5 linked regions of the Callithrix jacchus genome follow. The protein of the gene in region 1 binds, or shares a complex with, the protein of each later gene. Links are inferred from orthologs where the notes say so. Each region holds a gene or a part of one and is shown in the gene's direction. Other genes may lie near its edges. The genes, in order: PPARG, NRIP1, MED1, NFKBIB and CREBBP.

Region 1 (5,079 bases):
AGTTGTGGTGGCTCACACCTGTAATCCTAGCATGCACTTAGGGAGGCCAAAGCAGGAGAATCACTTGAGCCCAGAAGTTCAAGACCAGCCCAGCGACATGGCAAGACCTCATCTCAAAAAAGGAAATAAATTTTTAAAGTCAATATTTCATTAATATAAGTTATAATACACTATAAAATACCTGGAGGACAAAGAAGCACATTTTCCCTACGTTCTGTGAAAGCATCATTATCCGTTCAAATTTTTCTCATGATTAGAACCTGACATTCTGGAAAAGTACAGTAAATTTTCATTAATGTACTTGCTCTCTCCCCCCTTTTATTCTTCCAATTATTAATATTAATCCTGAAAAGAAAGGAAACAGAAAAAACACCCAAGCAAAATGCCTAAGAAATACAGTAAGGACAATTTGGTCCCAATTTCCTTGAAAAATTAGAGCCACCAGGCAAACCTGTTTTGGGGTCCTCACATCTGTCCTCTTTTGGAGTTTGCTAAGTAGTACAGTTGAAGTGAATTTTTTGGTAACAAAAGTAAAAACTTCTAGAATAACTCCAGTAAATGGTGTTGATGTGACGTACAAGTTTGGAAATATTTAAGATCTAAGAGTCCTTAATGTTGGTGTTATTTCCTCCAGTGTAGAACAGACTTAATATTTTGATGGAAATCATAGAGTTCCGCAGAGATGAATAGAATCTCCAACCAGTGCATCTTGAAGCCAGTTGCCACGGCCACTCATGCACCTTCTCTCTGCCCACTCAGGAGAGAATTCTCAGCATCTGTGCTCAAAAAAATCTTTACTTTTAGTCCATCAGAGACTTCATGTTTGTTGTGCATACACACTCACACCTCTCCACACATATGCCCACCCCCTACACACATCCTGCTTCTGAGAAATGCAGCTAGAATTTCCCCCAGAGAAGAGATGGAAACCCCTGATGAAGAAATTTCAGGTCTAGGAAAGGTAAATGACTTTCCTTAAGTCACATAGTTCACCACAGAACGAAAACTAGAACCCAGATACCTTCAGCTCTTCTTCCAGTGCCTTCAGGTACACAAGTATTTGAACAGGATTCAAGGTTTAACTCCTATATGTCATTCACTGTATCCAGTGTAAGTAGAAGGTTGCCCTTAGAGCAGCCTTGAGAACTTCTCAGTGACTACAAACCTTTGGTTAGTTCTATACAAGGAAAGTCAGAGAAAGATCAGGTCATGACCAAACAACTTAATTTTTGAAAACAGCCGATTGCAAACTTGAATAATTGGGGCATGTATTTTATTGATTGTTTAACCTGTAAGGACAAATATTTTAAAATATAAATTCAAAACCCTTTTTTGCCACTTTTTGCAGCAGTCCCCTACAGGCTTTCTGAATCTGCTCTTTCTGAAATAGATGACTTCCAGAGCATTAAAAAAAGAAATAGACATTTTCTTGGTTCAATAGCTCAAATCTGCTTTCAGAGTGATTTTGTAATACTTAAACACATTTCATATGCACATAGTTTCATTTGTGATCTTAGAGGATGTCATCTAAAACTGAAAAGTTATTACCTGTGAAGGAGAACAAAGGAAAAGGAAAAAAAAATAAGAAAAACATGTTTTTTAAACCTGAAAAGTTACTTTATGTTCAAGTGAGTATTCTCAACCCTGAGTTGCCAAAATGACTTTTAATTGAAAGAAGGCCAAAAGTGTATTTCATTGAAAGCCAAGATAAACAGTAGATTTTGTATCATTTTAGAAACAACAAAAAGCTGGGCACGGTGGCTCACGCCTGTAATCCCAGCACTTTGGGAGGCCGAGGCAGGCGGATCACTTGAGGCTAGGAGTTGAAGACCAGCCTGGCCAATATGGCCTACTAAAAATACAAAACTAAAAATACAAAACTCTACTAAAAATACATCCCTACTAAAAATACAAAACTCAGCCGGGCATGGTGGTGGTGCCTGTAATCCCAGCTATTCAGGAGGCTGAGGCACAAGAATCGTTTGAACCTGGGAGGTGGAGGTTGCAATGAGCCCAGATAGTGCCACTGTACTTCAGCCTAGGTGACAGAACAAGACTCTGTCTCAAAAACAAACAAATAAACATAAAAATCAACAATGAAGACTCCCAAACAAGAGACATTGGGATTCCTGGCAGTCATAGGTTAGGTGTTATAGTATAAATTGAAGAGAAAGAAGACCGAAATTGATGAAATACCTTTGGTCTCAGAAGACAATTAAGATGAATAAAAGAACTTGAGAATACGTCCTCATTATTAAGCGTCTTCAGCTTTAAAGATTTTAATTAACAAAGCAAATTTACATAACGAAACAGTTTTCTGAACTGGGATGACATTCAGTGTAAGTTAGAACTCTCCAATTCAGCCACTTTTTCTGTTTTATTTGCAGCCATTCGTTATCTATGACATGAATTCCTTAATGATGGGAGAAGATAAAATCAAGTTCAAACACATCACCCCACTGCAGGAGCAGAGTAAAGAGGTGGCCATCCGCATCTTTCAGGGCTGCCAGTTCCGCTCTGTGGAGGCCGTGCAGGAGATCACAGAGTATGCCAAAAGCATTCCTGGTTTTGTAAATCTTGACTTGAATGACCAAGTAACTCTCCTCAAATATGGAGTCCACGAGATCATTTACACAATGCTGGCCTCCTTGATGAATAAAGATGGGGTTCTCATATCCGAAGGCCAGGGCTTCATGACAAGGGAGTTTCTAAAGAGCCTGCGAAAGCCTTTTGGTGACTTTATGGAGCCCAAGTTTGAGTTTGCTGTGAAGTTCAATGCACTGGAATTAGATGACAGTGACTTGGCAATATTTATTGCTGTCATTATTCTCAGTGGAGGTAAGATTTGTCTTTTGATCTTCTGTGAGAGAGGGTGGGAGGATGGTGGGATGGCCAAAATTTTGAATTTCCTTAGTATTAGTCTGCGTTCGTTGTCACATTAAGTGCCAATGGCATAATGCCATGAATCATCACTACACATGCAAAACACTGTACCAAGAAAGAATATCAAAGGTTTCTGCTATGAAGGCTATGGGTAACCCGGGATCTTCTCTTTCATCCCACACAATATATTTTTTTCCAGTCAAATGCCCTCTTCTTGTTTTCCTTTTTCCTTTGTTTCCTTCTTTCTTTCCAGAAAGGAAGATTAGAGGCCAGTCTAATCTCTGTTTCCTGTAAGTAATGACATATATAACTTTGCTTCAGACATTGTTGACTTGGCCTAGAGAAGGTACTACTAAGTGTTTCTGCTCGAATTATGCTCCTGCGCTATCATCAGTAAGATACTGTTTTGAATTGCTTTTCTGATATCAGAAATTAAGGAATACCTACTGACCTCCACCCACTCTCTTGTGTGGATTCCTCTGATGGCTCCCTTAAAGTACCTTTATGAAGTAGTTGGTTGTGATTAAGAATGCAATGTGAACCGAACACACAACATAGAGATAAACTGAGTTATTTAGCAATTTGTTGTATTTTTGGCCTTGGAAGTATATTATCTGACTAACCAGTTCCAAAAACCAGATTTCCTACTGAGTGTGACTTTTTTCTTTTCTTTTTTTGTTGTTTGTTTTTTGTGTGTGGGGCAAGGCCTCACTCTGTCACCCAGACTGGAGTGCAGTTGCATGATTATGGCTCGCTGCAGCTTCTAACTGCATTTAGTAAGCTATGATCATGCTACTTCATAGAAGTAATACATGGCCATTTTACAGTTCGGCTCAAGTGATCCTCCCACCTCAGCCTCCCAAGTAGCCAGGACTACAGGAGCACACCAGCATGCCCTGCTAATTTTTAAAAAATTTTTTTAGAGGTGAGGTCTCATTATGTTGCCCAGGCTGATCTCGAACTCCAGACCTCAAGCAATCTTTTTGCCTTGGTCTCCCAAAGTGCTGGGATTGTAGGCATAAGCCACTACACCCAACCTAAACCTTACTTTCATTAGCCTCTCATGAGGTTTTACTTTCATCTCTCTGTGTAAAAATTGTTTCTGAGTAGCGGGTTTTCCTGTTGAAGTGGACTTCATGTGAGCTTTTTATATGTACTCTACAGTGAATTCTCTGTTTCTGAAAAAGCCATCAGGGGATAGTGGTAAACTGTGTATAACTGCACACTGGATTATAAAGAGCATGATCACTGTGTGGTCTTTTGTTGTCCAGTTGAAAGGAGAATGTTTCTGAAATCATGTGCATAGTACAGTAGTCATAAGAATAGCAAACATTTATTTAGTACTTCTTGTGTGCCAGGCAGTGTTCTAAGCACCTCATGCATATTTATTCAACCCTTACAACAATTCAGGGAAGTAAGGGCCATTTTACAAATGAGGAAACCAAAGCACTGAGAGGTTTTCTCATTTGCCCGAGGTCACGTGTCTAGCAAAAGATGGATCCATGATTGTGAATCAGGCATGCTGGCTCAGACTCTATGCTGTTTACCATCACATCATGCAGAATACCGCCCTTTAAATGCCTAGGGAGCAAATAGATCACAATATGGTGTAGTTTACCTTTAGAGCCACAAGTCCAGGGTCAAATAACTACTTGATATTATATTTAATAGAACAAAAATATACTACCTGGCATGGTTTAATAGCTTGACCAAATCTACCTAAATTAATCCTTGACTCTGTAGTATATTTTATTAATTTGGCAAAAAAGGATGAGATTCCAGTATATAAGAGGTTTGCCAGAAGAAAAATATTAAATTTTGAAAAATTAGATTTGAAAAACAGTTTATATTACTTAGCTAGTATTTTATTTTACTTTTATTTTATTTTTTGAGATGGAGTCTTGCTCTTCTCGCAGTGGCGCGATCTCTGCTCACTACATCCAGGTTGTCTGCCTCCCAGGTTCAAGTGACTTCTGCGTCAGCCTCCCTAGTAGCTGGGATCACAGGCATGCACCACCACACCCAGCTAATTTTTGTATTTTTAGTAGAGCCAGGCTGGTCTCAAACTCCTGACCTCAGGTGATCCAATCACTTCCACCTCCCAAAGTGCTGGGATTACAGGCATGAGCCACTGCACCCAGCCTATTTATCTACGATTTTATTTTTAATAAAGGCACATTTTATTTTTAATAAAAT
Region 2 (5,735 bases), on another chromosome or scaffold:
ACATTCTTATATTACATATATGCCCTAGTATCCTTGCAATGACTCTGTTACCCGGGAAATTTAGGTATTGATTTATTTAAAAAAAAAAAAAAAAAAGACAACAAAACAAAATAGTCTCCACATAATTAGCATGATTAAGTGAAAATGAATTCCACAAGAGGTGTGCAATTTACTTAACACCCATGCACTATCAAAAGAGTTCAGGATTTCAAGGACTGGGTTTCTGTGTGATTGAGAAAACATAATAATAATAAGTGAGGCGCTTTGGGCAGTCATCTAACATACAGCAGTGGACTTTTTAACACCAGTGCTGGAGGGCTGGAAAATTCTCGGCTTGTTGGGCAACCGCTGTGGTTCAAAACCTGGTTAAGAAGTAAGAAGAATGCATTTAAAAGCTACACTTGAGTAGTCCAAATATCTTTCCTAAAGTCTATGCACTAACGTGTGTTGCACCTTACTCCTCGGTGAGCCCATCAGTCCCTCACCCAGAACCTATTAAGTTTACTTTAGACAGAATTGTGACAAGTGAAGCTATCTGGATTCCCAGTCCGCACTAGAATGGAAGTTACCAATCAGAAGATGAGAAGAATGTTAGTGGCAGCTATGCTGGTAACAGCAAGGACAACAGATTTTTAGTTAGTGAAGGGGGAGAGAGAGAAATTACAAAAGGCAGAGATAATCACTAAGTCATAGCATCCTAGAGTCCTTCTGTGTAAAGACTAATAGCTTTTGTACCTCCTGGGAGCATCCCTAACACCTAGGAAGAATATAGAATAGGAACTTGACGTATTTCCTGAATCCACTACAACCTACTACATAATCACTTTTAATAAAATTGACATTGAATTGTCAAGAAAATGCTAAATGACGTTCAATAAACTGCTTAAGAGAAACATTTGAAAGACAATACAGAAAAATCTTTGTATAATGGTTAAAAATAATTTTCACAAAAAAAGTTTGACTCCCACTAAGGGGCCAAGCTCCAATTATGCTGGTCATCATTGAATTGGAATGGTTTGCTTTGTATCAGTTCTGAATAAATGATGCACTAAAGAACAGCAGCCTTTACTAAGTTGCCTAGAGCAGATTTTGCACTGTGGTATATGCAAATAATATGCTATTATATGAGGTTTAACTATATAAAATGGCAACAGATTGCATCGTTGAATCACTGGGGTGATGTAAAATAATTGTTTTAATATGTGCCATTGCCACTAAGCAAAACATTGGAACCATGTGCCCGGCACTGTGCTAGATGCTGAATTTATTAAGCATTAATTTGAAAATTTGCTTTCACTTTCAAGACTATGACAGTATTTTAAAACTCGTATTCACATTTTTAAAGGCTAAGTGAAATTTGAAATACACAATACAGCCGTTACATAACAGGCATAAGAATACAGTTTTATGACTTGGATAGTTTTTGTTTTTTAAGCGCATTAGCAACTCCATTTCCAAATGCTATCAAATTCTTCAGGATATGAAAGCCTACATATAAGAATGGAGTGCCTCAGCGGCTCATTTGCCTTATGTAATAAGTGCTTTAACACAGGCATGCCATTTCAGAATTTCGGATGAGACTACGCTGTACTTTTAGCTTTTTTGTGTCAAGCAAAAACAATTTCAGCAACAACACTCCTTTCCCCTGGTAAATTTTTTCATGCTTATTACTAAATGCTAGATGCTCAAGTCACAAAGAAACCTGACATCTGGGGAGGTGTTGAGGGGGTGTTAATAGTTCTCGTGAGATGCTTGGTTGGGGAGCGTTGAGGATACGATTTTTAAAACAGCAAATACACGGAGAAGGGGAAATTATGGTTTCGTATAACTCTCTCCTCCCTCCACTCTCTCGTTTCACCAATCTGTAGCCCCCCCAATTTAGAGGCGGGTTCAGCGAGATTAGGCTGCAGGAAACCGAAAGGCTCCACCGCGCTGCCGCCCCGGCCTCGTGATGTAATTGTCATTTCTTATTCGGAGACTGAACCGGGGAGAGCTGCCGAAGTAGCAGCCCTGCTCCTTTGCCTTGTCTCGTTGGGTCAGATCCTGCCCGGGGATGATGTAGTTTGGCTGACAGACTCCGCCGGAGACTTCGCAGTGACAAAGCAGCCGAGGATTAACCCTGCTCCTGGGTCCTACGTCTGTCCAGGGAGCTGAGCGGGGCGCTCCTCAGGTCTTCTTCCTAGTTTTCCTCCCGGAGTCGCGCCACATTGAGTGCTGCTGGGTGCCTACTACGTGCTGGGCGTGGGGTCAAAGTGACCCAGAGTTCGCGCCCGTGCCCCCCGAGATTAAAGCAGGACACACAGATGACAAGGAGGTGGAAATCGGGGGTGGGTGGGTGAGAGGGAGCCCAGGGAGCGCGTGTCGTGGGGTGAAGGGGAGGAGGTAGACGCTTAAGGCGCCAGCACCCAGGCGGGGACCCTGGGGCGTCCGGCTCCCGGGCTGTGCCCAGGCGGGAGCGATCGGCCTGGGTCCCGAGAGCGCTTCCCCGAGTGCCCGGGAGGAGCTGTCCAGGCGCCTGCGGCGGTCGGGGGCCGCTGGACAGAGCTGGGAGCCCGGGGAACGTCCCCTCTCCCGGGGACGCGGTCCTCTCGCCGCCCCGGGGCCCCGCAGCCCCGTCTGGGCCACCCCCGAGCAGGCGAGGAGGAAAACCACGAACCAGAGGGGGCTTCCCGACTCCTGAGAGCGGCCCGCATCCGCGCGGCTTCCTCCCGACCGGGTGACAATGGGAGGGAGGGGGAGAAAAGGGTTAAGAAACTTGGCTGAAGAGCTGAATGGCGTGGGGCGGCGAGGGGAGGGACTGGGCCGCGGCGGACTCGGCGGCGGAGGGAGGAGCGCGGCTGCGGGCGGGCGGCGAGCGAGGCGCTCAAAGTCAGCCTCGCAGACATTGCAGCAGAGCCCCGAACTCGGGAGGCGGCGGCGGAGGAGGTGGAGGAGGCGCGGCGAGGCGCAGGGACGACCCGGCCCCACGCCCGCCCGCCACCCGCGCGCGCCCGTCCGCCCGTGGCCTCGCGTCCGCCGCTGCGCAGGGAGCGCCGCTGGTCGGAGGGAAGAGCTCGCCGGGGCGCCGGGCCAGGACGGGGCGGCGGGCGCCTTCGCGGACCGAGCCTGACGGAGCCGGAGGCTGGGAGCCGCGGCGGCCTCGGGTGAGTGGCGGCCGCGGCCGGGGCGCTCGGAGGAGCCCGCTCTGGCCCCGCCGGAAACGGCCGGGAGTGCGGCCCGCGGAGGCGCTGGCTGGGCGGGCAGGGCCGCGGGGGCGTCGGGGCGGCGGGGAGGGTGCGTTTCCGGGGAAATCCTGCCTCCGCTCCCCGGGATCTCGCGGGGGGCCGGGGCGGCGGGGCGGCAAGTTGTGGAGTGGCCCCGGGGCTGCCCGCCAGTCCGTGCCAGTGCTGGGCGAGGGGGCGGCCGCCGCGTGGCCCCTGCGCGGGAGCTCGCGGGGCCGGATCGGGGTTGCGCCCGGCTCGCCTGCCCTCTCGGCCCCGAGCCCCGGGCACCGCTCGCCGCGTCGCTCTCGGTCCTGCTGTCCAGCCGGATCCGGGGCGGCGCCTTTCGCCCGGGTGCTTCCCTGCTCGGTGCTCGCGGGATACCCGGCTGGGAAAGTGAATGGGAACCGGGACTGCTCGTCCGGCCCCCACCCGACCCCAGGCCCGCTCTGCCCGCACTCGTTGTCCCCTCCTGAGAGCGAGGCTCACGGACCCGAGGCCTCAGCCACCGTTTTACCCGGAGCCGGGGGCCGGCTCCCATTTAGGCTGAGCCCTGTGGAAGTCCGGGGAGGCTGCCTTTTCTCCCTTCTTCTGTGTCCACGTTACCGCTATTGAATATTGTTTTACGAAGGTTCCCATGGTCATCTTCTGCACACCCTCCCAGCCCTTCCAAAGTAGTTTCCCAGTTTTAATCAGGAGTTGGTGTTCAGTCTGAAGGAACAAAGGAATCAACTGTGTCTTAGAGGCGGACAGGCTGGAGTCTGTGACACATGTTGATCTCTGAAGCATTCCAGGAGTTGCTACCTTTTAGCACGTCAGTAATTGGGTTCTGAAGGTAGTAAAAGAAGAAAGGAATGATAAGCACTTTTTCGTTTTAAAAATATTCTGTAATGGCACATTTTACTTCGGGGGGAAAAAGAAGACGTTTTTAGGTACAAGGATTTTTAAGAACTCAATTGGTGGAACTGAGTTAGAGTTTGTCTCTGGTATTGTAAATGATTACATGTGGGATTGTGAAGGAAATTGTGTCCTTAGAGGCAGAGAAGCCATCTGTAGGTGTCCACAGTAAAAATGGTTGTCGGGTTATATATGATGAATGCTCTTTCTATTTCTTGGGGGAATTTGTGAAGCAAGGGGCTTCGGTAATTCATTCTTTAAAGTTATGAATTGCATTGAACCTGCTTATTAGTGAGTCATAGGTTTAGTAAGTGGGTGGCATTATTCTATGTTTAATCATCAGTTTTCCACCTTTGTTGAAGAGATAGTGAAATAATAGACTTTTTAAACAAATGGCGCTTCATCTGCCTGGCCCCTAAGTGTCGGTTGCCGCCTGGAGTATGTTGAAATGTTTTTTAACTTCCAAGTAAGTGAGTTGCTCTGGTTTTGCCCAGCAGTTCGGTATCGTCGGTAGGGTTTATCTGGTTCAGGGAGCAGTAGCTTCATCACTTATAGTAACTTTTCTTTGCCTGGGTATAGTTCCTAGAAACAAAGAAGGAGAATCAATTAGTGGAGCAGATACTGCCCTGCAGGTCATAGGACTGGTTGCTCTATCTAGTCTGTTTCATTAGCTGGTGGAAAAGACCTCTTTCCAAACTTACCCTTAAAAGTGCCCTAGGAGTGTGAGTAAAATATACATCAAAACATAAGAAAAAAAAAATGACTGTTTGTTGTTGATTTTATTCATATGAATTAGTTGAAAATCAGATTTAATGCCTGTTTTGCGTGCTTTTCCAAACTCTGCAGAACTTGGATTTTGCGAATTTTAACATCCTAAAATATTGTTAACTTTGCAGTAATGTGTGAAGAGACCAAAGGCTTTTCTGACTCTTGCAGTTATAAGTGCAAAACATCATGATAAAAAATAACCTATACCACCACCTAGAGTCTGTTTGTTAGTTTATTGCTCATGAAGTTTGCTTAAATTGACATGTCTGTTACAGTTCTGATATAGTCGAAAATGATTAAGAAGTGCTGGCTTTCAAAAGGCCATCCAAGAGAACAATTATTTAAGTAATAAATAGCAAGAGCCAGTTTAAATTTTTCATGCCACCTTTGGAATTGAAAATTATGACATATCAAGTTGAGTGGGCTATTCTCCAAGATGTTAATTCAAAATATTTTAAAACGGAGTACTCGGCTTGTGCACCAAGGCAGTTCTGATTCCTTAACAACTTCTGTGATGTTATCAGAGATTCAAGAAATCTTCCAAATCAGATGCCGTTAGAACTTTTTAAAGTCCGAATGAAACAAAAGCAAAAATATAGGAAAGCATTACAATTACAGAAATTCTGGCAATTCAGAAGTTAAGAGGATGCAGCCTATGGCAGAGTTGTGGTTCAGAGATGTGAAAAGTAAAATCAATGTGAATTAAAGTGATAATCTGTTTTGCTGGTAGTCTGTATGTGGTAAAGCAGTCTATTAAATGAGACACCTTAGGGAGGCAGCTTTGTTGCCATGTGGCTTATCACATTGTCCATGGAGGAAGTAATGTTCTTCCTTTAAGTGGTGTAGCCTGAGAGAAAGATGGCCTCCAAG
Region 3 (5,561 bases), on another chromosome or scaffold:
TACAAAAAATTAGCTGGGCATGGTGGCGCGTGTCAGTAATCCCAGCTACTCAGGAGGCTGAGGCAGGAGAATTGTCTGAACCCAGGAGGCAGAGGTTGCGGTGAGCCGAGATCGCGCCATTGCACTCCAGCCTGGGTAACAAGAGTGAAACTCGGTCTCAAAAAAAAAAAGCCTATCTTAATCCAAAATTTCTCAGAGCTTCAAAAATATTGTAAATGATCAAAATAGTTTTGAGGCCGGGTGCAGTGGCTCACGCCTATAATCCTAGCACCTTGGGAGGTTGAGATGGGCAGATCACCTGAGGTCAGGAGTTCGAAACCAGCTTGGCCAACATGACAAAATCCCATCTCTACTAAAAATACAAAAATTGGCCGGGTGCGGTGGCTCAAGCCTGTAATCCCAGCACTTTGGGAGGCCGAGGCAGGTGGATCACGAGGTCAAGAGATCGAGACCATCCTGGTCAACATGGTGAAAACCCGTCTCTACTAAAAATACAAAAAATTAGCTGGGCATGGTGGCGCGTGCCTGTAATCCCAGCTACTCAGGAGGCTGAGGCAGGAGAATTGGCTGAACCCAGGAGGCAGAGGTTGCAGTGAGCCGAGATCGCACCGTTTCACTCCAGCCGGGGTAACAAGAGCGAAACTCCGTCTCAAAAAAAAAAAAAAAAAAAAATACAAAAATTAGCCGGGAATAGTGGTGGGTGCCGGTAATCCCAGCTACTCTGGAGGTTGAGGCAGGACAATCGCTTGAACCCAGGAGGCGGAGGTTGCAGTGAGCCGAGGTTCTGCCACTGCACTCCAGCCTGGGTGAGAGAGCGACACTTCATCTCAAAAAAGAAAGAAAGAAGGAAGGAAGGAAGGAAAAAGAAAGAAAGAAGAAAGGAAGGAAGGAAGGAAGGAAGGAAGGAAGGAAGGAAGGAAGGAAGGAAGGAAGGAAGGAGAGAGGCCGTCGCGGTGGCTCACGCCTATAATCCCAGCACTTTGGGAGGCCAAGGCTGGTGGATCACAAGGTCAAGAGATCGAGACCATCCTGGTCAACGTGGTGAAACCCCGTCTCTACTAAAAATACAAAAATTAGCTGGGCATGGCGCCTGCGCCTGTAGTCCCAGCTACTCGGGAGGCTGAGGCAGGAGAATGGCTTGAACCGAGGAGATGGAGGTTGCGGTGAGCCGAGATCGCGCCATTGCATTCCAGCCTGGGTAACAAGAGTGAAACTCTGTCAGAAAGAAAGGAAGGAAGGAAGGAAGGAAGGAAGGAAGGAAGGAAGGAAGGAAGGAAGGAAGGAAGGAAGGAAGGAAGGAAGGAAAAGGAAGGAAGGAAGGAAAAGGAAGGAAGGAAGGAGAAAGAAAGAAGGAAAGAAAGAGAAAGAAAGTTTTGAAACTAAAAAAATGAGAAAAGAAGCCGGCGCGGTGGCTCACGCCTGTAATTCCAGCACTTTGGGAGGCCAAGGCGGGCGGATCACGAGGTCAGAAGATAGAGGCCAATATAGTGAAACTCCGTCTCCACTAAAAACACAAAAATCAGCTTGGTGTGGTGGCACACACCTATAATCCTAGCTACTCGGGAAGCTTAGGGAGGATAAGCGCTTGAATCCAGGAGGCAGAGGGAGATTGCAGTGAGTCGAGATCGCACCACTGGACTCCATTCTAGCAACACAGCGAGATTCCGTCTCAAAAAAAAAAAAAAAAAAAGAAGGAAAGAAAGGGGAATTAATTGTGCTAGGCTGTCTTTGAATGTCATGTTACAATGCGCCACTAGCTTTCTTAGGACATAATTATTGCATCTAGTATCTCACGGAAAACATACATTCCTGATACCAATAGCCTTTGAAAAGATAGTCTTTCAGTAGAGAGATCTGGAGATTTTAATTTGCGAGTTGTTTAACTGCTCAAATTAAAAAAGAAAATGCTGGTTTCCGCAGGGGAGCTGTAAGTTACTGGCCCGCAGTTTTAACAACCAGCAGCGTCAGGCCTGAGACAGCCCAGAGCAAAGACAGGACTAGCTTGAAAGAAATCTCGCGAGGCCCACGCATTGACCAATATTCGCGAGATTTCGATGCCCTGTCCTCTTCCTCCCTCTGGCAGGACCACGGTTTATCTCGCGAATTTTGGGAAGTTCCGTTGGGGAAGATGGCGGCGGCCTCGAGCACCCTTCTCTTCTTGTCGCCGGGGACTTCAGACTGATCCTTCCCGGGAAGAGTAGGGACTGCTGGTGCCCTGCGTCTCGGGATCCCGGGCCAACTTGTTTTCCCCGTTAGTGGCGGGGAAGGGCTTATCCCTTTGTGGCAGATCCAGGCTCTCCCCGCCTTCAGGATGAAAGCTCAGGGGGAAACCGAGGGTAAGTGACCGAGGGGGAAAGGAGGGGGCGGGACACAATTTGGGGAGCCGGTTTGTGAGAGGAGGTTCCTGCCAATGTCCGATAGGGGCCACTTTACGGGCATAGAGTCCAGGAGAGGGAATGTTTATGAGTTTTAGATTCTCACTATACCTTCCTTGGTGAATATAGAGCTCCGACTTTGGGGTGATGGGGACTCTCAACTTCTGTGAAGATTTCCTGATCGACTAGGGACAGTCGGTTGGGCCTCAGGGCACTTTTGGCTTAAAGTGGTGGGAGACCGGGCCAGTGAATACAAAACCAGCTTACATCTCGTTCCAGAAGAGACGTCTGAGTAAATACAGGGCTGTGGGTAAACGTACTGGAGGATATTTTGGCATAAATGAAATGATTAGGTCCTTATATTTATTAGCAGCCAGCAGTTCCCTACAATGTCAAGTGTTCAGATCCCGTGCTATTGTGTGTTTTTAAACTGCACTGAATTTCATTTTTTTTTCCCTTTCTTTTATTGACTGAACTAAGAACTGCAGAAAAACAAACTTTTCTGTGGAACTTTACTAAGATTCTCTAAAGTTCCACACTCCAGTATAGATGCTTCCTTAGCATTTTGGGCATAGTTCTGTTGATACAGTGAGCTGTATTATTGTTTGTTTATCTTTTTCAATTTACTCTGAGCTTTGCAGATTAGGGACCTTGCCTGATTAATTTTTGTATAGTTTCTGGCACGTAATAGTTGCTCAAAAAATAAGCGTTGACGTAAATAGTCGCTCAAAAAATGTCTGAGCATTGAAGTAAAGTTACCTATCAGCAGGTTTCTCAAGGACAACAAGAAGTATGTTTTGGAGGAGAGGTCAAAAGGTGGGGCCGGGTGCAGTGACTCACATCTGTAATCCCAGAACTTTAGGAGGCTGAGGCTGGAGGATCCCTTGAGCCCAGAAGTTAGAGACCAGCCTGGGCAACATAGTGAGACCCTCTCTCTACAAAAACATAAAAAAATTGGCTGGGCGTGAGGGCCTGTAATCCCAGCACTTTGGGAGGCCAAGGCAGGTGGATCACCTGAGGTCAGGAATTCAAGACCAGCCTGGCCAATATGGTGAAACGCCATCTCTACTAAAAATACAATATTAGCTGGTCATGGTGGCTTGTCTGTAATCTCAGCTACTTGAGAGGCTGAGGCAGGAAAATCACTCAAACCCAGGAGGTGGAGGTTGCATTGAGTCAAGATTTTGCCACTGCACTTCAGTCTGGGCAATGAAAGTGAAACTTCATTTCAAAAATAAATAAATAAATAAATAAATAAATAAAAAATTAGGGCCAGGCAGTGGTTCAAGCCTGTAATCCCAGCATTTTGGGAGGCCGAAGCAGGAGGGTCACTTGAGCCCATGAGTTGGAGACCAGCCTGGACAACATGGCAAAACCCTGTTTCTACAACAGATACAAAAATTAGCTGAGCGTGGTGACACAAGCCAGTAGTCTAGCTACTTGGGAGGCTGCGGTAGGCAGATTACCTGAATCCTGTAGGTCAAGACTCCGGTGAGCCAGGATTATGTTATTGCACTCCAACCTGGGTGACAGAGTGAGACCCTGTCTCAAAAAAAAAAGGAAAATTAGCTATAGTGCCAGCTACTCTGAAGGCTGAGCTGGGAGGATCACTTCATCCTGGACCTTGGGAGATCGAGGCTGCAATAGGCTATGATTGTGCCAGTAGTGCACTCAAGCCTTAGCTACTGAGTAAGACTGTCCTTTTTTTTTTTTTTTTTTGAGACAGTTTCACTCTTGTTGCCCAGGCTGGAGTGCAATGATGTAATCTCAGTTTCCTGCAACCTCTGCCTCCTGGGTTCAAGTGATTCTTCTTAGCCTCCCAAGTAGCTGGGATTAGAGGCATGCACCACCACACTTGATAATTTTATATTTTTAGTAGAGAAGGGGCTTCCAAAGTGCCAGGATTACAGGCGTGAGCCACTTAGCAGAGCCTGGCTATTTTTTTCTTTTAAAGTGGTGGGATCTTGTTACGTTGCCCCAGCTGTAGTTGAACTCCCCAGCTCAAGTATTCTTCCACATTGGCCTCCCAAAGTGCTAGCTAGGATTATAGGTGTGAGCCACAATGTCTGGCTTCCCCAGCACTTTTTTTTTAATTGAGATGGAGTGTCACTCTGTCACCCAGGCTGGAGTGCAGTGCTGTGATCTTGGCTCACTGCAACCTCCACCTCCGGATTCAAGCGATTCTCCTGCCTCAGTCTCCTGAGTAGCTGGGTTTACAGGCGCCCACCACCATGCCCGGCTAATTTTTATATTGTTAGTAGAGATGGGGTTTCACCATGTTGGCCAGGCTGGTCTAGATCTCCTGACCTAAGGTGATCCACCTGCCTTAGCCTCCCAAAATGCTGTGATTACAGATGTTAGCCACCATACCCAGCCCTCCCCAGCGCTTTTAATAGTGTTTGAGGCCAGGCATGGTGGCTCACACCTGTAATCCCAAAACGGGGAGGCTGAGGTGGGTGGATCACCTGAGTTCAGGAGTTGGAGACCAGCCTGTCCAACATGGTGAAATCTCGTGTTTACTAAAAATACAAAATTAGCTGGGTGTGGCAAGGTGCATGCCTGTAATCCCAGCTACTCCAGAGGCTGAGGCAGGAGATTCAGTTGAACCTGAGAGGTGGCGGTTTCCTTGAGCCAAGATCACGCCATTGCACTCCAACCTGGACAAGAAACACCATCTCATTAAAAAAAAAAAAAAATGTTTGAATGAATGTCTTTTTTTTTTTTTAGTACAAACCGGGACTTGCTGTGTTGCCAGGGCTGGTCTCAAACTCCCGGGCTTAAACTCCTGAGCGATTCTTCCACCTAAGTCTCCCAAAGCGTTGGGGTTATAGGCGTGAGCCATGGTGCGCTCTTTTTTATTTCTTTCATTGTTTTTCTGTCTCTCTCTATCTCCCTCTCCATCTCTCTCTCCCCCTCCGCACTCTCGCTCTCTCTCTCTTTCTTATTTTTCTTTTCTTTTACTTATTTATTTATTTAAATAAAAGACGGGGTTTCACCGTGTTGGTCAGGCTGGTCTTGAACTCCCGACCTCAGGTGATCTGCCCGCCTTGGCCTCCAAAGTACTTGGACCGATGGCTCCCTCTACCATGGGATCCGAATGAATGTCTTAGAATAAAGATGGAAATTGGCAGAAATGTATCCAGAACTATAAATTGGCTAAAACAGTCCCTAAAGTAGTTTTCCAGA
Region 4 (5,659 bases), on another chromosome or scaffold:
GGATTACAGGTATAAGCCACTGCACCTGCCTCCCCCGCCCGTACCCTGAGTTCCTTTCATCATCAGGCTGTCGGATCATTTTTCCCATTACTTGTCCATGAGATCTGTGTGTTCCAAGACCAAATGGGACACCTGTCTCTTCCAGGCCCAGGACAAATTTGGTTTAGAAGGGATGGGAGGCAGTGGCAAGGAAGGAGGAGAGTTTGGGAGGGCAAGCCTGGACTCGAGACTGCAAACTCTTCTGTGACAATCCCCAGAATCTGCCTGTCCCCATAAAGCTGCCCTGGGTGGCGTGAGGATTGGGACAATGAGCCAAGGGCCCTGGGGTGACTGTCTCTCCTTTGCCACCTCCCCCCAGCATGGGATGTGGAACAAGTCCATGTCTCTCCTCCCCTCCACCATTTCCCCCATCTCACCTGAGCCTCCTGCACCTTCCCTGCCTGGGTCTCCAGAGGGTGAGAGGCTGGGGGAGGGGAGCAGAGGTGGTTACAGTAGGGAGAACGATTAAGGGGGGAACACAAGGGTTCAAATTGTCAGTGAGGGGGCAAGAACACCCACCAACCTAGTTACACTGGGACGGGGTGGTGGTAAAATTGGAGCAGAGGGAAAGAGGGGATGGGAGAAAATATCTTATCCGCATGCAAAGTGGTGCCCGGGGAGGTGATTAGTGAGGGGCAGAGAGGCTGGGGAGGAAGATTTAGGAGGACAGGGAGAAGTAGGGGCTTTTGCCCAGGCTGGTCTTGAACTCCTGGGCTCAATCGATCCAACCACCTTGGCCTCCCAAAGTACTGGGATTACAGGCATGAGCCATTGTGTCTGGCCCTGACTTTCTTTGTCTTTTACTTTTTAGAGAAAGGGCCTGGCTCATGTCACCCAGGCTGGAGTGCAATGGTGCGATCATAGCTCACTGCAGCCTCAAACTCCTGGGCTCAAGCGATCCTCCTTCCTCCTGCCTAGGGGATTCAGGGCATGAAGGAACACTCAGGAGGAGTTAGGAAGGACGCAGCAGTGTGAGTGTGTGTGCGGGAGGGTTAGGTTTACAAGGCAGAGGGAAGTTTAGAAAGGAAGGGAGAAGGGAGGGGACGCTTCGGCTGGGAGGCAGGTCTGGGAGGGAGGTGCAGTGGTGCAGTGGAGGCGGTAGGTTTGGGAGAGGCGCGGATACGAAGGGAAGCCATAGGAGGGGACAACAGGGGTCCCTCAGCATCCTCCGGTTGCCTCTAACAATTAGGTACCCTTAGCAACAGGGACCGCGGCAACTTAGGTTCTTTGCAGCGAGGGTCCTCAGCAACCAAGATACGAAAAACACGCCATTATTGGCAACTTGGCAAGCGGATGTGATAAACCAACCCCGAACAACCTGCGACCCAGAAACCCACCAGCCTAGCGATACAGATCGCTTAGCAACAACCCTCAGAATCCCACTATCCGAAGCGCTCCCTACTTCCCGCCCCGCAGCGGCCGCCCTCGGGCCCCGGGGCCTGCAGCCTTCAGCTAGGCCCCGGCGCGGCCCGACCCTCCCACCCGGGTCCCCGACTCACGGTCTGGCTCTGCCATGGGCACGGTGCTGAAGCCCTCGTGGCTGTCACCGATCGCTCTGTCCCGTCACCAACCACTGTGTCCCGTCACCGACTGCTCTGTCCTGTCACCGACTGCTCTGTCCCGTGACGGCACCAGAAATGGGAGTGGCCGGGATAGGGCTTAGAACTACAACTCCCAGTAGCCATTGCGGCAGAAGCCGCGCTTTCGTACGACAGCCAGAGCGCCCCAGACTTAGGTAAGAAAGCGCGCTAGGGCCGGACTTCGAGTCCCAGAAGGCGCGGCGTCAGCAGCCATGTTGGTAAAGGGCGCCCGGAAAATGTAAAAACGGCTAGTGAGTCGTAGTCCTCCCAAATACTCTGATTGGTCACGATATGGTACCAGGGTAGGGCGCGAGCGATTCAGCATATTATCATTGGATGAATTAGGGGGCGTGGTGGGGAATTTCCCGCAGGGCGGAAGCGCCAGAACTGCCGGCAAAGCCCAGCTCCAGGCAAGCGACTGCGGGGGGCCCCTGAGGTGGCGGGGGCCATGGCTGGGGTCGCGTGCTTGGGAAAAGCTGCCGACGCAGATGAATGGTGCGACAGCGGCCTGGGCTCCCTGGGTCCGGACGCAGCGGCCCCCGGAGGACCGGGCTTGGTCGCAGAGCTGGGCCCGGGGCTGTCGTGGGCGCCCCTTGTCTTCGGCTACGTCACTGAGGATGGGGACACGTGAGTGAACCTTAGGTTGCCAAACGGAGCCCTAGGACCCGGCGTCTGATTCCCCATTAGTTTCTGATCCCTGAGGCTTCCTAACCTCCTACTCCTAAATCTGATTTCCGATGCTGAACTTCCTGACCTGTAACCCCTGAGTCCTAACTTTTAACAAAACCAATCTTCTATCCAGCTGTGATGCTAACCCAATCATTTCAGACCTTCCTTTCTTGAACTATGATTCTCAGCTCCTGGAATCCACATTCTGTCCACGGATACCCAAACCCGACTCCAGTCCTGAGGCTTTTGTTAGAACTGTGGCTTCTCCTGACTTCGAACCTCCAAATATAATCTTTGATTCTTAGTTCCTGATGTGAGCCTTAGACTGATTTCCGAAATTAATACTTGGTCCCTGACTCTAAGATCTTGTTTTCTGAGCAGTGTTCTTCAAGTCTTAAAAGAGTGAGAATGTAAGTTCTCCTATGTTGAATTCCTAATTGAAGTAGAAAAATAGAAAAAGAAAAAAGAATGTAAGCTCCATGAAACCAAGGATTCATCTGTTGAACAAATATTCTTTACATATTACCACATTCCAGGCTTCGTTTTAGGTGCTAGTGATAAAGGCAGTGAAGAAAACAGACAAAAAACTAAAGCCCTTGTGAAGGAGACGTTTTATTTTAGTGGGGCTAAACAGATTGATAAGACAGCAAGGAAGGAAAGAAACAGAAAGACAGAAAGAAACAAAGACATGCAGAAAGAAAGACACAGAAAGTAAGAGAAGGAAAGAAAGTCACAGGTTGTCAGTACTTTGGAGAAAAATAAAGCAGGAAAATGAGGCAATAGATAAACAAGATAAGAGCATTTCAGGCAGAAGGAACTGCAATTGCAAAGGCCCAGATGAGGGACTGTACTGGGTTTTTTTGTCTGTTGTGTTTACTGCCCTATGCCCAGTGATGCAGGCAGTGCCTGTCCCAGGAAGCAGTTAATAAATACTGATCTTACCAAAGAACCAGCTTTAGGTTTATTAATTTTTGTTAATTAATTTGGTTTCATTAATTTTATTTTAGTTTTCAATTGGTCTTTGATTCTTAGCTCACTCCAAAGTGTGAGCTACTGCGCCTGGCCAACAACTCTGTCCTGTGACTCTTGCAAGCCTGGTCTCTACAGACTCTTCCTCCATGTCCATCTCCTGACCTCAGACAACCTGATGGGCTCTGCTTGGGGTCCCCTCTCTCAACCGTGGCTCTCAAGACCATAAGCTGTGGCAGTCAAGTGTAGGGCCCACCTCATGTTTCCTGTCTTTCGGGGGCCACTGTGATTCATTGCATGACGTCCAGCGTCTTCAACACTGTTGCTTCATATACCGTATTGCGTCTGATTTTTCTTTGTTTCTTGTGGGAGGGAAGTCTGGTCCATGTTACTTCATTTTGGGCAGAAGTGGAAATCCCACTGAATAAACATTGTTGGTTCCACAAATTTGCTGATGAAACTCTGACCTCTCTGACCCTCCCAGATAGCTGACAGTGGGTTCCAGAACTGTGGTCCCAAAGCCTAGCATACAGTAGCCACCCCATGTTTGTTGAATGAAGGAATGCAAGAGGACTTGAATTTTGCCCTCTGACCCCAGTCTTTGTCCCCAGGGCACTGCATTTGGCTGTGATTCATCAGCACGAACCCTTCCTGGATTTTCTTCTAGGCTTCTCAGCCGGCACTGAGTACATGGACCTGCAGAATGACCTAGGCCAGGTGAGCCACGAGGGGATGGAGTAGGGGTTGGGGTCTGGGGTTCCCAGTGTGACTCCCTACTGCCTGTCCTCTGCTTCTGCAGACGGCCCTGCACCTGGCAGCCATCCTGGGGGAGGCATCCACGGTGGAGAAGCTGTATGCAGCAGGCGCTGGGCTGTGCGTGGCAGAGCGTGGGGGCCACACGGCGCTACACCTGGCCTGCCGTGTGGGGGCACTTGCCTGTGCCCGTGCCCTGCTTCAGCCCCGCCCTCGGCGGCCCAGGGAAGCCCCGGACACCTACCTCGCTCATGGCCCAGACCACAATCCCGACACCAACCATACCCCTGTCACCTTGTACCCCGATTCTGACTTGGAGAAGGAAGAAGAGGAGAGTGAGGAGGAGTGGAAGCTACAGCTGGAGGCTGAAAACTATGAGGGTGAGGGTCGCCACCAGGGAAGGACTGAGCTCCCAGGCTAGGTGAGAGCACCTGGCCCTGGGCTCTCTTCCCTGATTCCAGACCGAACTCCTTGGGAAATCACGCCTAGGCTTCAGGAACCCAGGCATCGGGACCAGGGACCTCCACTCAGGGCCCAGATGATTGACAATTGGATATGTAAGACCCAGGATTCCCACTTGGAGGCCCCAGATCACTTGGGACGCAGACCTGGCACTCATAGACCCAGAGCTGCCAGGATCCAGTTGCTGGGCCCTTGGGCTCCCCACCTGCAGGGTGTATTCAAGCTGGTATCCCTACCCCACCTAGGACCAGGGAATGCAGAGCTCAGGCCCTCTGGGAAACTCTGGCACCCCAGGTTCCCAGTGATGGGCAGCAGGGACAGCCCTCCTCTGCCTCATGGGAAAAAGGAGTCACCTGCCCACAGCCTGGCATCCAAGTTTCTGCTCCCTCACCTATAAGCCTGCCCACCTGGTACCAGACCCCTCCTCAGATGGACTGAGGTCGTTCAGGACCCATTGTTAAGGGCCTGCATCTCACCCCCAGATCACAGGCTTTTCAGCCACTTGGTAGCCCCCCCTTTTTTTTTTTTTTTTTTTTTTTTTTTTGAGTCGGAGTCCCACTCTCCACCAGGCTGGAGTGCAGTGGTGTGATTTCAGCTCACTGCACCCTCCACCTCCTGGGTTCAAGCAATTCTCCTGCCTCAGCCTCCGGAGTAGCTGGGACTATAGGTGCCTGCCACCACACCCGGCTAATTTGTGGATTTACTAGAGATGGAGTTTCACCATGTTGGCCAGGATGGTCTCGATCTCCTGACCTTGTGATCTGCCTGCTTTGGCCTCTCAAAGTGTTGGGATTACAGGCATGAGCCAGCGCACCAGCTCAGGTCCTTTGTGAATTAAGAGCAGAGACTTAGGTCTCCTGGCCCCAACATCCCAGCCCCCCATCCACAGACCCCAGGCTCTTCACCCATGAGCCCCAGGCTTCTCAAAGCCCAGGCTCTAGCACTTGCCGGCAAGCTAAGGCCATCCGACACACACATTTAGGACCCAGGTACCTCTTTGACATACCCAAAGGTTCAGGAACCAGCCCCACACCTGATCACCCTCAGGCCACGTGGTCCTCCCCCAGGATCAAAGCATGGGGGACCCCTCACCCCATCATCTGATGCGTCACTCTGTCCCCAGGCCACACCCCACTCCACGTGGCTGTTATCCACAAAGATGCAGAGATGGTCCAGCTGCTCCGAGA
Region 5 (5,728 bases), on another chromosome or scaffold:
TTTTAGGAGACTTGATACATGTTTTTTTTTTTTTTTTAAAGAATATTGTTTCCTTTTTCTGTGTCAGGGTCTTGGTGTGTTTTTGAGAAGGAGTTTCACTCTTGTTGCCCAGGCTGGAGTGCAGTGGCTGATCCCGGCTCACTGCAACCTCCACCTTCCAAGTTCAAGCGATTCTTCTGTCTCAGCCTCCAGAGTAGCTGGGATTACAGGCGCGCACCACCACGCCCAGCTGATTTTTGGATTTTTAGTAGAGGCGGGGGTTTCATCATACTAGTCAGGCTGGTCTCGAACTCCTGACCTCAGGTAATCCGCCGGCCTAGGCCTCCCAATGTGCTGGGATTACAGGCATGAGCCACCCTGCCCGGCCCGGGAGTTGTTTTAAACAGATTTTTTTCCTCTCTTTTCGGGAAGTTAACTCTTGCTGCGTGGAGAGAAACAAAAGAGGGCAAAGAATACTTAAGTGAGCAGCTACCGCCATCGCCACCAGTGCGAGAGGAGCCGTCTCCCAGGTCAACACCATCGGGAGAGGAGTGCGTGGCCGGTGAGGAGGAGTCCGCAATGACTCACTTAGGAACTCAGGGTTTCTGGCTTAGGAAATAGGGTTGCTGCTGATACCTTTATGAGGAAGCCGGGCAGGTTTGGAGGGGCAGATAACTAACTGAGATGGGAACACCTTGGGTGTTCGTGGAAATGTCCTGCGGGTTGTGGTCTCGCGTGGGGGCCTCCCCAGGCCCGCATCCGTCTGGGGCACCTGCGACTTGCCTGGGGCGGGGAGCACGGCCGGGGCGTGCAGGCCTAAGCCCTATGCGCGGGCCCTTCTCGGCCCAGGCTGGCGCTCGCCACCCCACTCTCATAGGTGAGGATATCGGCCTCGCCGCCTCGGGCTGGGAACAGGCGTGAGGTCCCCTCACTCTCTAGTATCACGAGGTGGGGCGGGATCCGAATTCTGGCCCTGCCACTTTCTGCCTTGGCGACTTTGGAGAAGTTGCTCTGCCCTTCCTGCCTCAGTTTCCCCATCGGCCCACCTCGTCGGCGGACCCGAGGGCGGTCTGTACCTCGCAGGGGCCATTCCACTTCCCTGGCGGCGAGGGCTAGTGGCGTGGCGTGGTCTGGGCTGGGGTCGCCCCCGGCAGTCCCCGCCCGACACCACCGAGGAGGGTCTCCGGGAAGCGCGGAGCTGGGAACAAGCACCGCCGCCCCAGCGAGACGGGCGGGCCCGGGCCGGCGTCGACTCCACACCCCAAGGCCCGATCCATGGCCAGGCCGCTGCTCCTGGAGTCCGCTCGGGCCAGGAACCACGGCAGTCGTCGCCTAGTCGCCGTCAGAACAAAAGCCGCGGCTCAGCCCGTAGCCCCGGCGTCCCGCAGGCCTCGCCCGCGCCCGGCCACCCGCCGCCCCTTGCTCAGCGGCCGCGCCTTCGGCCCTTCCGCCCGAGCACGCTCGGCTCTTTCCGCCGCGGCCGGCGCAGGTGGAGGGGGCGGGGCGGGGGCTGTGCGTGGTGACGCCGCGGGGGGGGGTGACGCACTGGCGTGCCCCGCCCCCACCCCCTCCCCGTTCAGGCTCTGGAAAGAGAAGAAAAAAAACTTTCTTTTTTTTTTAATTGAGGAATCAACAGCCGCCATCTTGTCGCGGACCCGACCGGGGCTTCGAGCGCGATCTACTCGGCCCCGCCGGTCCCGGGCCCCACAACCGCCCGCGTACCCCGCTCCGCCCGGCCGGCCCGCTCCGCCCGGCCCTCGGCGCCCGCCCCGGCGGCCCCGCTCGCCTCTCGGCTCGGCCTCCCGGAGCCCGGCGGCGGCGGCGGCGGCAGCGGCGGCGGCGGCGGCGGCGGAACGGGGGGTGGGGGGGCCGCGGCGGCGGCGGCGGCGACCCCGCTCGGCGCATTGTTTTTCCTCACGGCGGCGGCGGCGGCGGGCCGCGGGTGGGGAGCGGAGCCCGGAGCCCCCTCGTCGTCGGGCCGCGAGCGAATTCATTAAGTGGGGCGCGGGGGGGGGAGCGAGGCGGCGGCGGCACCACCATGTTCCCGGGGACTGCCTGAGCCGCTCGGCCGGGCGCCGTCGCTGCCAGCCGGCCCCGGGGGGGCAGCCGGGCCGCCGGGGCGTCCCCGCCGCGGAGTGTCGCGCTCGGGAGGCGGGCAGGGGATGAGGGGGCCGCGGCCGGCGGCGGCGGCGGCGGCGGCGGCGGCCGGGGGCGGGCGGTGAGCGCTGCGGGGCGCTGTTGCTGTGGCTGAGATTTGGCCGCCGCCTCCCCCACCCGGCCTGCGCCCTCCCTCTCCCTCGGCGCCCGCCCGCCGGCTCACGGCCGGCGCTCGCTCCTCTCCCTCGCAGCCGGCCGGGCCCCCGACCCCCGCCCGGGCCCTCGCCTGCCCGGCCGCCCGCTCCCGGGGCTGTTTTCGCGAGCAGGTGAAAATGGCCGAGAACTTGCTGGACGGACCTCCTAACCCCAAACGAGCCAAACTCAGCTCGCCCGGCTTCTCGGCGAATGACAGCACAGGTGAGGAGGGGGTCCGGGGCAGCGGGATCCCGGGGCGCGCTGTCACCCCCATCCGGAAGAGAGTGCCCAGGGGTCGTGGTCGCGGAGACCGACCGAGCCGGGAGCCCGGAGCAGGTCCGGCAGCCGGTTCCTCTCGCCCCGCGCCGGAGGGTGGAAGTTCGTCGCAGGACTGTCACTGGGCCCAGATGGGGCAGCACATGCACGATGCACTCGGCCTACCCGCCCCTGATCAGCCCTCCTCGCGGGGACGTGAGTGGCACTCCAGAAGAGAAGAAGTAAAGTGCAGCGTGTGGGTTTGTTTGGGAATGCCCTACGCACCCTTCCACGGCCGTCCACACGCGTGGCTGTCCAGAGGAATGACAGCGGAGGGTACATTTGATGCTTAGAGAAAGCAAGATCGCGGCCAGAGGTAGCGCGATGTGTTTTCTTGATTGGCGACACATTGACCAGGCTGCAGTCAGAGGACGCAGAGCAGCCGCCAGCTTTGAGTTAGACTGAAGTTAGGAATGAGTGAGTTCCTTGGAAGGATGCTTAGTGCTTATTTTCAAAACTTTTTTTTTTTTTTTGTCAACTAGGCATTTAGTGTTTCGTTTCCATGTATAACTTCAAAAGAAAGTGAAACGGCAGATTTTAAGTTCATTTCGGCTGCAGTCACCGTTTGAGTTTGTGTTGTTTTCACCGTGTACATGTACAAAAAATTAAGGAATGTAGGAATTCCAATTTTTCTAAAAAATATACCAGGATACGGAATAAATCACCTTTTTTGTTTGTTTCCTCTAATTAAACAGCTTCCCTGGAAAGTTTCTTGAGTAATCATAGCTGTTTAAGAGTAGTACTTTAGTTTTCTATTCATTCAGTAATTCTGGGTCCTCCTGCGCTGGTTCATGGTAACATGAACTAGTTGTATTTCCTCTTTGAGAGCTCTTTCCTTTGTGGCAAAAACTTGTGTGCCGCTGCGAACAATTCTGTCTCCAGCGCAGCTTGCATTTCTCCAGTAGTCTTGCAGTGGCAGCGTCTGAAAGTCAGTTTCTAATGAATGAGTCCAAATTGAATTACATTGCTGCCTTCAGATTTGCACTAGACACAGCTGTTCAACTCGTGGAAATATTTCTGTGACCGACCACTAGCATATTCAGAAATCTGCTTCTGCTGTTGAAACAAAACTTGAATTTTGTGGCTTAAGCTTGACTACAATTCCTGGAATCAAGTTTTGATAAGCGACATTTAATATTAATGTAGAAGTGAAAAACTATTTTTAAAAATCACGAGGAGAGAACTTATCAAGTTAAAATTCCTTAAACAGTGGGGAGAAGTAAACGATGCTCGAGGTATATAAAAATCACTAATAATGCTTTTCTTTTTAGCTGATTAAAAGTTGAGTTTGACATTAATCTTATAAAATGAACTTATTGAAGTGAGAAATCTGTAAACAAAATAGTTTTAAGTCCCTTAAAGAACAATAGTTTAAGAGATCTTTGCTGCAAAACAGATCTCCGTTTCTTCATTAACTTTGCTGTGTTTGAGTGAAGAACCTTCACTTCTGTGAGACGTAGGTAGGTCATACAAGGCAAGTTCAGTTGTGAAGGCTGTCTGCTGAGACTGGTAACCTGGGTGGCTTTGTGGCTCTGCTATTGTTGAATGAATTTGTTGTAGATTTTGTGTTAAAAAGGAGGACAGTTAGTAACACAAGCGTTAACAAAAAGCTTTGTCCTGTGTACATCCAGCTGTTTCCAAGATGGAGCCCAAAGGATAGGTTTTTTGATAGTTTCCGTTATTGGATGGCCAGATGCTTAATAAATAACAAAATTGTTTACTTAGTAAAGAACAAAGTTGATCAGAAAGGATTTTCCACACTTACTCACCCTTTCCCCCTTCCTTTCCAATTTTGATCCTTGCAAGGCTCAGGAGCTCTTTTGTGGAAACAAAAGTCAGTTTGAGATGGTCCAATTTAGTCCAAAATAGAAAATCAGCATCATACTTAAGCTGGGTCCTGGGTTACCGTTCATCACCATCACACTATTGTGAAAGGGGCTGTTCGTGTGGAGGATCAAGGAATGAATCCTTATCAACCACATTAAACAAGGGGCCAAGCACCATGGCTCATGTGTGTAATCTCAGCACTTTGGGAGGTGGACGTGGGCGGATCACTTGAGGCCAGGACTTCCAGACCAGCCTGGCCAGCATGACAAAACTCTTTCTTTATTAAAAATACAAAAATTAGCCAGCCAGGCATAGTGAGTGGCAGGTGTCTGTAATCCCAGCTACTTGGGAGGCTGAGGCATGAGAATCGCTTGAACCTGGGAGGCAGAGGTTGCAGTGAGCCGAGATCTTGCTGCTGCACTCTCCCTGGGTGATAGAGTGAGCCTGTCTCCAAAAAAAAAAAAAACGGGATGACCATGTCTGGTTTAACTACTAATCTAAGAAATCAAGTAATGAGATGGTTGGAGATCTGAGGGATGTATATTAAACAGATAAATGCCTGCAGTCGTCTTAAGGACTGGAGGCATTTGGTCATGTGGGACAGACCAGAGAATAACATTTTTGAGGGACTCAATCTTTTTATCGAGGGGATGTGTCTCCCAGGCTCCCAGGGGAAAATTCGGCCTAGTGGAGCAGGTATGTGCCCAATGCCTATGATCCCATTTGAGGGAGGGGACCTCTGGGAGCTGAGGGGTTGAAAGGAGGAGGAGACAGCAGCCTGAGAAACAGGAGCTACTTGAACTCCAGGGCATGTTTGTGAGACTGGCCTGTGGGGCCACCAGTGTCATTTAGATATGTCTGTGGGGGGGGTGGTGAGCTGAGAGAAGAGTGCCCCCTCCAACAATGGGGCACTGCTCAGCCAGGGTGCTGCTCATCAGGGAGCGTGGGTGTTGCAAACAGCACTCCTGAGGTCAGGAGGCACCTCGGAGTGATAAATGTCACTGCAACTGTTGACAGACAGAAGTCACTGAAGGCTGGGAAGCTTACGCAGAGATGATGCAGAAATAGGGAATGTGCCGCGAAGGAGGGTAGCAAGAGGAAGGAAAAACAATGCCTTTCATGCCGCTGGAGCAGAAGCCCAGAGCGGCACAGAATGTGGTGGCCTCAGAGGTTAAAGCAGCATTTTACACTTTCTCACAGATGAGGTCTTCCTTTACTTAGCACCCTCACAAGAAGTGGGGACTTCATGTTATCAGTATATAGTTAGTTGGGTGTTTTGGAAACTTCTCTATTTAATATGTCTGAGTTAAAATAG

Evidence for each region.
Region 2: the proteins of PPARG (region 1) and NRIP1 are in contact, whole or in part, in a crystal structure (PDB 9CWN), measured with the Homo sapiens proteins. The link is inferred for Callithrix jacchus from reciprocal best matches to the Homo sapiens genes PPARG and NRIP1. Residues at the interface, in NP_056953.2 of Homo sapiens: Val321, Gln322, Thr325, Lys329, Phe334, Leu339, Gln342, Val343, Leu346, Lys347, Pro495, Leu496, Glu499, Ile500, Lys502; in NP_001426204.1 of Homo sapiens: Ser130, Thr131, Leu132, Leu133, Ala134, Leu136, Leu137, Ser139.
Region 3: the proteins of PPARG (region 1) and MED1 are in contact, whole or in part, in a crystal structure (PDB 6ONJ), measured with the Homo sapiens proteins. The link is inferred for Callithrix jacchus from reciprocal best matches to the Homo sapiens genes PPARG and MED1. Residues at the interface, in NP_056953.2 of Homo sapiens: Val321, Gln322, Thr325, Glu326, Lys329, Phe334, Leu339, Asn340, Asp341, Gln342, Val343, Thr344, Leu346, Lys347, Gly427, Leu429, His494, Pro495, Leu496, Glu499, Ile500, Lys502; in NP_004765.2 of Homo sapiens: Asn638, Thr639, Asn641, His642, Pro643, Met644, Leu645, Met646, Leu648, Leu649, Lys650, Asp651.
Region 4: the proteins of PPARG (region 1) and NFKBIB are in contact, whole or in part, in a crystal structure (PDB 9CK0), measured with the Homo sapiens proteins. The link is inferred for Callithrix jacchus from reciprocal best matches to the Homo sapiens genes PPARG and NFKBIB. Residues at the interface, in NP_056953.2 of Homo sapiens: Gln322, Thr325, Lys329, Phe334, Leu339, Gln342, Val343, Leu346, Lys347, Leu496, Glu499, Ile500; in NP_002494.2 of Homo sapiens: Asn286, Pro287, Ile288, Leu289, Ala290, Leu292, Leu293, Arg294, Ala295.
Region 5: the proteins of PPARG (region 1) and CREBBP are in contact, whole or in part, in a crystal structure (PDB 7RLE), measured with the Homo sapiens proteins. The link is inferred for Callithrix jacchus from reciprocal best matches to the Homo sapiens genes PPARG and CREBBP. Residues at the interface, in NP_056953.2 of Homo sapiens: Val321, Gln322, Thr325, Glu326, Lys329, Phe334, Val335, Leu339, Asn340, Gln342, Val343, Thr344, Leu346, Lys347, Leu496, Glu499, Ile500, Lys502; in NP_004371.2 of Homo sapiens: Asp62, Ala63, Ala64, Lys66, His67, Lys68, Gln69, Leu70, Ser71, Leu73, Leu74, Arg75.

What each region holds. Positions count from the first base shown.
Region 1 is NC_133516.1:69,578,560-69,583,638, forward strand, and holds part of PPARG (peroxisome proliferator-activated receptor gamma), read left to right. Parts: intron 1-2,387; coding exon 2,388-2,838; intron 2,839-5,079. UniProt on the Homo sapiens protein: Nuclear receptor that binds peroxisome proliferators such as hypolipidemic drugs and fatty acids.
Region 2 is NC_133522.1:22,076,576-22,082,310, reverse strand, and holds the start of NRIP1 (nuclear receptor-interacting protein 1), read left to right. Parts: upstream 1-1,969; 5' UTR 1,970-2,170; exon of another isoform or gene 2,171-2,314; intron 2,315-2,891; exon of another isoform or gene 2,892-3,143; intron 3,144-5,735. UniProt on the Homo sapiens protein: Modulates transcriptional activation by steroid receptors such as NR3C1, NR3C2 and ESR1. Also modulates transcriptional repression by nuclear hormone receptors.
Region 3 is NC_133506.1:119,910,198-119,915,758, reverse strand, and holds the start of MED1 (mediator of RNA polymerase II transcription subunit 1), read left to right. Parts: upstream 1-2,108; 5' UTR 2,109-2,311; coding exon 2,312-2,336; intron 2,337-5,561. UniProt on the Homo sapiens protein: Component of the Mediator complex, a coactivator involved in the regulated transcription of nearly all RNA polymerase II-dependent genes.
Region 4 is NC_133523.1:34,460,419-34,466,077, forward strand, and holds the start of NFKBIB (NF-kappa-B inhibitor beta), read left to right. Parts: upstream 1-1,974; 5' UTR 1,975-2,067; coding exon 2,068-2,246; intron 2,247-3,868; coding exon 3,869-3,974; intron 3,975-4,056; coding exon 4,057-4,390; intron 4,391-5,595; coding exon 5,596-5,659. Other genes in the region: SIRT2 (NAD-dependent protein deacetylase sirtuin-2), read right to left, coding at 417-463, 1,539-1,554. UniProt on the Homo sapiens protein: Inhibits NF-kappa-B by complexing with and trapping it in the cytoplasm.
Region 5 is NC_133513.1:5,996,687-6,002,414, reverse strand, and holds the start of CREBBP (CREB-binding protein), read left to right. Parts: upstream 1-2,278; 5' UTR 2,279-2,408; coding exon 2,409-2,493; intron 2,494-5,728. UniProt on the Homo sapiens protein: Acetylates histones, giving a specific tag for transcriptional activation. Mediates acetylation of histone H3 at 'Lys-18' and 'Lys-27' (H3K18ac and H3K27ac, respectively).